Rattus norvegicus: one gene and its partner. The protein of the gene in region 2 binds, or shares a complex with, the protein of the main gene of each other region. Links are inferred from orthologs where the notes say so. Each region holds a gene or a part of one and is shown on either strand. Other genes may lie near its edges. The genes, in order: Nptn and Atp2b1.

What was found.
Region 1: the proteins of Atp2b1 (region 2) and Nptn are in contact, whole or in part, in a cryo-EM structure (PDB 6A69), measured with the Homo sapiens proteins. The link is inferred for Rattus norvegicus from reciprocal best matches to the Homo sapiens genes ATP2B1 and NPTN. Residues at the interface, in NP_001353449.1 of Homo sapiens: Phe954, Asp955, Ile956, Asp957, Glu996, Arg997, Asn998, Val999, Glu1039, Gln1040, Leu1042, Trp1043, Ile1045, Phe1046, Met1049, Gly1050, Leu1052, Leu1053, Gln1056; in NP_036560.1 of Homo sapiens: Arg245, Ser246, Asn248, Arg332, Arg334, Pro339, Pro342, Phe343, Gly345, Ile346, Glu349, Ile350, Ile352, Leu353, Ile356, Ile357, Tyr360.

What each region holds. Positions count from the first base shown.
Region 1 is NC_086026.1:67,927,110-67,930,928, forward strand, and holds part of Nptn (neuroplastin isoform 2 precursor), read left to right. Parts: intron 1-939; coding exon 940-1,287; intron 1,288-3,819. UniProt on the Homo sapiens protein: Probable homophilic and heterophilic cell adhesion molecule involved in long term potentiation at hippocampal excitatory synapses through activation of p38MAPK. May also regulate neurite outgrowth by activating the FGFR1 signaling pathway.
Region 2 is NC_086025.1:35,726,725-35,730,543, reverse strand, and holds part of Atp2b1 (plasma membrane calcium-transporting ATPase 1), read right to left. Parts: intron 2,096-3,819; coding exon 1,784-2,095; 3' UTR 1-1,783. UniProt on the Homo sapiens protein: Catalyzes the hydrolysis of ATP coupled with the transport of calcium from the cytoplasm to the extracellular space thereby maintaining intracellular calcium homeostasis.

The DNA of each region.
Region 1 (3,819 bases), on a different chromosome or scaffold from region 2:
CTCTTTGAATTGACTGCAAGTAGACAGGCAGTTGCCCTTTTTAGGAAGACTCTTTCAAGAGCCACAATTATTTCAAAAACTGGCTTTTCAGGAGATTTTACTAGTAGAATTTATAGCATCATGAAGAGTATTGTCCCTATCTTTTCACTAGCATTTGATTGGGTTGCTGTTACTGTTGGTTCAGCTCCTGAACTGAGTATAATAGTTCTCACTTTGATGTGAAGTACAGATTGTGCCTTTTTTCTGGTCCTGAGGATCTGTATTCAGATAGAATTCATATAGATGCATAGACAGCTGGGCTGTTTGTTTACTATGGGCCTAGGGAAGATTAGGAGATGGAAAAGTCTAAACTAAGGATAGTATCCTACATGTGAGAAATTTGCCGCCCTTCAGCTGAAATTGGGCCTCTGAATAATAAGGTACTAGATTAGTTAATGCACTTCTTGTTGAGGTTTAGGAAGGGTACTGCATCTCTAATGAAATGTTTCCCATTCAAAAATGATCCTGACTTGGCATAAAAACCCATTACCACTTCCTGTTATCTTCCATCATTTGCCTGAGTTTGGAAAGGTAATGGTTTTGTGCTCTGTGGAAGGATGTTCTTCCCACGACTTAAGGCTTTCTCATTCCTTCCAGCTGGGCCCATTGCTAAAATGCTTTCCAGTGGGCTTGCTTCTGCCTGGCCAGCATCTGGGCTGCCCCAGCTTGTAATTGGCCTGCCTTTGCTTCATAAGCTTCCCAGGGTGGTTCTTCTTCTAAAAGCTTGTATGAATTGCTATTACTGTCTCTTTATAGTTTAAAAATGAATCCTTTTTTGTTCTCTGCAACTCATTTGCTTTTTTCTTTTCTTTTCTTTCCTTTAAATTATTAACACCTGTTGATTCTTTTTTTTTTTTTCTGATTGGCCTGTCACTGCATTCCTGCTCCCCCTCCCTCTAGCTGGGTTTGTCAAGTCGCCCATGTCAGAAACTAAGCTCACAGGGGACGCCTTTGAGCTGTACTGTGATGTGGTCGGGAGTCCCACGCCAGAGATCCAGTGGTGGTACGCAGAAGTCAACCGGGCAGAGTCTTTCAGACAGCTGTGGGACGGTGCTCGGAAGCGCCGTGTCACCGTAAACACCGCCTACGGGTCAAACGGCGTGAGTGTGCTGAGAATAACCCGGCTCACCTTGGAGGACTCTGGGACTTACGAGTGCAGGGCAAGCAACGACCCCAAACGGAATGACTTGAGGCAAAACCCTTCCATAACATGGATTCGAGCCCAGGCCACCATAAGCGTCCTTCAGAGTGAGTCCAGCACCCTACAGTAGTAGTACTGTAGTCTTTAGAGGTGGCCCAATGATCCTTCCCTTCTGCTTCCTTTCCCTCTACCCTAATATAATTGCTTACCCCACCCCTTGTCTTTGTTTTTTCAAATTCATGACCCTTTTGGTTGTAATGTCTGAAAACATTTGTGGCTACATTATTTATTTATTTATTTATTTATTTATTTTTGCTGTCCTTTCTATTTCCCTTATCTCCCAACCCTTCTCTGTGTCTTTCTTCTCAGGAACAAAGAACTTGAGGAAATCCATGACTGTGTCCAAAGTCAGCTTCGCTGGGAAGAGGTGGGGAGGGAGAACTGGGGAAACAAAAATTTTTTTAATAGCACAAATGCCAGGCAGTGGAATAAGGGTAGTTGAAACTGTTTTTTTCCCTCCTCTTTAATTTTGTAGTAGGTTTCCTGCTATCCTTTTGCTGAGTGCTTCTCTGGTGCCTTTCTATTTTTATTTTTCTCCCCACTCTAACTACTTTTTATTTCCCCTGTTTATCTGTTGGAAGCTCGCTCTGAATAGCTAGCTGCCTTCACCTCTATGGTTTTAAATTTGTGTCTGCCCAGCCTTTTCCCTCGCTGTGACTTGGTGTCATCCTGTTCTGTTGATAGGAATGTTGCCATGGTGCACTGTGGTAATATGTGTTTTGTTGGGTGGCATGTAAGCTTGGGTATTTCCACAGCTCCAGCTCTTTTTCTTTTCTAAAGCAGTGGCATGTGCTTCTCTGACAGCAGCACTCCAATGCAACAGCACAGTTCTTACTGAGCCTGTTTTGTTTAAAGCAGCTGCCTGAGATTCTCTCCCTTAGTCCTGCTATCAGGAGCTAGGTGCTCTGAAGCTGAAAATTATATTGTTTTTAAAACTCTCATCATGCTGTCTTGAAAGTCAGAATTGTATCTGGTTCCTATCCACAGACAGCTTGACTTTAATGTTTTCACAAAATTCCTAATCCTGGTGGATGATAAACTCAAAAATAGTTTGGAAATCATTCACACTGTCTCTTGTCTTAAAAAAAAAAAAGTTAAATCTCAATCCAAGTTCTCTACAGTCCTGTGTCTGTTGTACAAGTTAGGTTTGGGTGACCAGTTTTCTTTCTGAAACCTGTATGGTAGGAAGCAGAGCCCATCACAAAATCTGGGCTCTCACTAGGAAGGGTTCTAGTCCTGCATTTGACTTGGTTCTGACTGAGGGGCATTCTCAATTCAATAGAGGGGCCTCTTATACTGTTGCATGATTTTGGGTGGCTCAGTGAGAGACCTGACTGATTTAGAGAGAATGAAGTTAAGTAGTAAAATACTGTTTTTGTGAGCAATTTGGTGATAACATAGTACTATGACAGAGACCCTAAATCGATAGATTTGGAAAACTGAATGTATATACTTGAATGTATATTTAGAGAAAAAAAGTCAAATTAGTATCTGCTTTGTATTCACTTGGAAAACTGGAGGAGGGGATGTGAAAGGGAGACAGGAGGGGCTGTTGCAGTTGGTACTGCTGAATCAGAGACCCTGCTTCTGTGAAGAGGAAAAGAAAACCTGTCTGTGAAAATGGGGAACATTAACCCAGCAATTTTTCTTTCTTTTAACAATTTTTTCCCCTTGCACGCCTCCTTCTCCTGCCCCCTTGCTCCTTTCCTTAAACAAAAATCAGAATTATCCAAATGGCCACAAAGGTCTCTAGAAGTTCATAGTTATAGACTGGGCATTAGGTAGTTTCACTCCCAAGAATATTAACTTGTAGCTAAAAAGACTGTATGTAGGGAGTAGAAGATTAGAGCTTTGGAGTTAAGTATGCATCAGTTCCTAAGAGCACATAGTACTTACCCGTTTACTTAGAAACCTGTTTCTTAATTTATGGGTATCTGCATATACTTGAGCCATAACCTGGCTAGTCAGTCTCTTCCTGGATATCCATATCAGTTGGTTAACTTTAATGCCCTGAATTTAACTTTAATTAAATTGTTTTGTGATCTTAGGCTCCTTAGAAACATTGCCTCTAGAGGGAGGTTGAATTCTTCTAAGAATGACATACCAGTACTTTCCCCAAAGCTCTTTGAATAATGTAAACCAAAAGAGAAATGGGTCCAGTTTTGAGGCTGGCTTTGCCATAATATGTTCTTTACATAAACATGGTGGTTAGGGTTAGGGGCCTACCTATTGCTTCTAAATAGAAGTCAGTGATAAGTAAAAATACTTGAATTTCTAAATGTTCATCTCTCTTGGACTTTGACTGGGTAGCACTGAGCCACAGAAATAAATGTCTCACCTTCATCCTGGTGTCAAACACAAATGTAGTACTGCAGCCAGAGGAGCTCAGCATAGTGCTAGTTTCACATACAGTAATGACAGGAATCAGGTTACCCCATACTACAGACCTCCTATGGCACAGAATCGACTTGCTCCCAGCTGACTCTTTCCTGGATCCTTAACATTTAAGGGAAAAAGTACTTTCTTTTGCTTTCTAAGATTTCGTAGCAGAAAGTCTACCAGATTGCTCTCATCACCTT
Region 2 (3,819 bases):
TTTTGTTTGTTTTTTGTTTTTTTGGATATGGTAGTCCTCGTAAACTTTGTGTCAGCCTGAGGATTGTTTATCTGGCGTGATCTGCGCCCTGAAACAATACCACTCTCCAAAGGGTCAAGACAAGAGGCAAACAAAGGAAGAAGGTAGACAGAAAAGAAGCAGAGAGCCCGGAAGTTCAACTGTCTCAGAGACGGGCATTTCGGAGTACAGCTGGTTGTTACATCTACACAGATCACGTGCAGGAGCTTCCTCAGATTTTCCTGTGTCATCCTTATTATCTAATCTCTTACTGGGCCACTCAGTAAAAACAAATGCATCAGGGACAATGGTGGTCGTCACTTCGTATAAAACGGTGAGACTGGATTAAACTAGGTTCTCTGGCGGGTATGCTAGCTGGCAAAACTGTGCCGTCTCGGCCTGACTCTACGGGGTGACCATGAAAGAATACAAAAGGCCCTTCCTGGGGGCCGTTACCAGCTTGAAATTTATTCTAGTTGTGGTTAGAGGAGACGGGCCAAGGCGGCACATAGACAGAACCAAGCAGCTGAGCTGTCTGAAGAACCATTACCGTGTATTTATTTAATAAAAGGGCGTATTTATTTATGTTTACAAACAAGTTCCAAAAAACGGAAGGAAAGCATGTACACCTCTACCTATTAACCTTTTTCCAAATGCTGACAGCCCTCCTACGCTTTGCAAAGGTCTCTAAGGAGTTATTAGAAAAAAAAAAAATCAATACAGTCACTCACAGTTCACCGAGACATCGCTGAACTAACGTAGTTAAGACAAAAACAAAAACAAAAAAAGACTAAAGGTTCTCTTGTAGTTTGATAGTTTAATTTGATTGGCCTGAAATAACAAAGGCATTTCAAGCATCTTTCATTGTGTATTGGATGTCCTGCAATAAACAGTCTACTAAATTCTGAACAAAAGGTTATTAGCAAGTTTTCAAAAAATTTAAAAATTAAACAGTTCTTCCAAAACCATTAAGTAGTAAATGTATTTAAGAAACTAATTAGGACAGATGCCATGACTTCTTTAGAACACCACTGCTCATGGTTTTTTTTTTATGTTTTTTTTTGTCTTGTTTCTTTTTTCTTTTTTCTTTTTTAAACAAAGCATTAGTGTTATCTATTTGGCTATTAGTATTAGCAATTTATCTACATATTTAACAAGATAAATTGTAGGCAAAAATTTAGTACAGTTTCAATAGAAACACCCCCCCTTTTTTTTTCCTGAAAATACAGCAGTATTTGAACGACTAATTTTTCTCTGCATTAGTGATAAGGAAGCCTCCCATCTATGAAGAACAAAAAAAGTATCTACAAACCTTGTAAACAGATCTGTATCATTTATAAACATAAATAATCCAAATTATTAACAGCCAACAGCAGAAATTAAAGTATTCACTCAATGATCCAGGGCTCTCTGTCTCACCCAGCGTCACTCCTCCCTCCCTCCCATCAAGTACTGAGATAAACCACAGCTCTGCTAGTACACGGTCAGGACAAGGTTAGGTACCACTGACGACCCACAGGCCACTCGCGCCGTTGTTTATCTGTCAGTTCGTCTCTCCCACACCCCCAAAAAAGCACCCTCGGTCTGGCAGAAAGCTTTTGCTTTTTTTTTTTTTTTTAAAAAAATAAATCTACATTCGTACAAGTGTGTCTTCTGTTGAAGTCCAGAGACAAGAACGCCATCTTGTCCGTCACAATGTGTGAAAAGACTCAGTTTCAATTTGTTTCTTTACAGTGCGGCTAGTGTGTTAACGTTCAGCTTACAATCAGAGTGATGTTTCCAAACTATGCAGTGGGCTCCCTGGGGACGAAGAGGTAGCAGACTTGTTCATTTCTATTGTAAGGTGGATCCCGCTGTCAACGGCATTGTTATTTTTGTTAGGAGAGGGCGGAGGGCTGGAGTTGCGTTTAGTAGGAGCGTCATCTTCAGCATCAGTGTCATCGATAAGGGGGATGTGCGGCTCTGAATCTTCTATCCTAAACTCGGGGTGTGTCATAAAGTTGTGGATTGAACTTCTTGATTCTGGCTTCTCTAACCCTTCGTATAAAGAGCTACGAAATGCATTCACCACTCGGATCTGTAAACAGCACAAAACACAGGGGGATGTCAGGACACCAGGAACTTAACCCCAGCAGCGGTTCACTTATGAGTTTGAATCCACAAACAGCTAGGTATGAGTGAATCGTATTTGCATGTAATGTGGAACTTGCAATACACTGTAAAAAAATGAATATTTTAGTAGGACACTACAGAACAACGAAACCACATACTCTAATTAAGAGGTATACATTCAAAGAAAAACTAACGAAATCTCATTGTTACTGGCTAAAAATATTTAACAGCCATTTTATAGGCTTTTTTTTTTTTTTCCCTACGAAGACGAAAACAAAAACCAGAAAACGAAATGAGAACTTGGCCATACACAAGCTTACTTGAATTTATCTTTAAATCAAAAAGCACATATTTCTCAAAACAATTCAAGCTAAACAATGTCAAGCACAAAAGGGAGCTCTGTATCATGCCAGGAGTTAGGGTGTCACCAACTATGAACAAGCCAAGCAGATATAAGCCGGATGCCACAATGAATTCACATCTGCCCCACTCCTTCCTGAATTGAAAATAAAGATGAACCCAAATATATATCTATAATACTAAACAGCTATAAGTATTTGAGTATATGCCATTTTTCTACAAAAGTGTTAATGGTTTTTTTGGGGGGGCAGGTGTATAAAAGATTGTAACTTAATCACTATAGTTCTCTCCGAAAGAACAGATTCCAAAAACACCACCCTCTGGGACTCTGAAAAAAAAAAAATCAAGGAAAAGACACCAAGTTTCAGAGTTTTCTTTCTAGCAACCATTTGGACTTACACGGCCTAACAATTTGCCTTTCTCCTTGGGTGTCTGCTGTATACAGGAAACTAGGTTAAAAGACAAGCCTAAAAATGTCACTCTGGTCCCAACAGTTGGGATCAATAAACCAGTGTCATTCAAAAAAAATGTTTTTTAAGAGGATAAAATCAATTCAGCTGAGCATTTACATTAGTTAAAATGTAAATATTTTTATAACATGGAAATGTTCACCTTTGTTTCAATAATTTTAAGAATGAAGGCACCATTTACTTATACCTGATACAAACATTCTGGAAGAAAACAGTAGTCACTAAAATTATCTTAACAGTGCAATGACCATTAAGACATTTACTCAAATAGAAAATAGAATGTATATTTAAAAAATATATGGTTGGGTCATGTGTCCCTTCAAATTACTATCTTTCTTCATGTTTGTCTTCTGGGACTTACTACCCCATCTGTGAGCTGTGTTAGTCTAAATCAGTGGTCACAAGCTTGTGTGTGTGTGTGTGTATCTATATCCCATATCTGATATCCTGCACATTACACATTTATGTTATAATTCATAGCAGTAGCAAAATTACAGTTGTACAGAAGCAACAAAGGTAATTTTATGATGGGGTTCACCAGGGCTGCAGTGTTAGGGAGGTTGAGAACCATCATTCTAAATAACTTGGCCCTTTGCACAGAGTGTAAATACAGCTGAGTGAGAAAGGGAGGCATGGAATGAATTCCCCTCCTGCCTACTTGAGGAGGGGGAGTGGTGGCCAAATGGGATTTCTCCAGGAAATCAGATGTAATGCCCCACCACCCCATGGGGTTGCTATGGAATGTGGTGCAGTGTTAGCATACATAATCAAGCCCAAGATCTCTCTCAGACTCTGGTGTGCACTTGATTGACTGGGGATATTTGGGGAAAGGCAGACTCTGATCCAGGAGAGGTCCTAC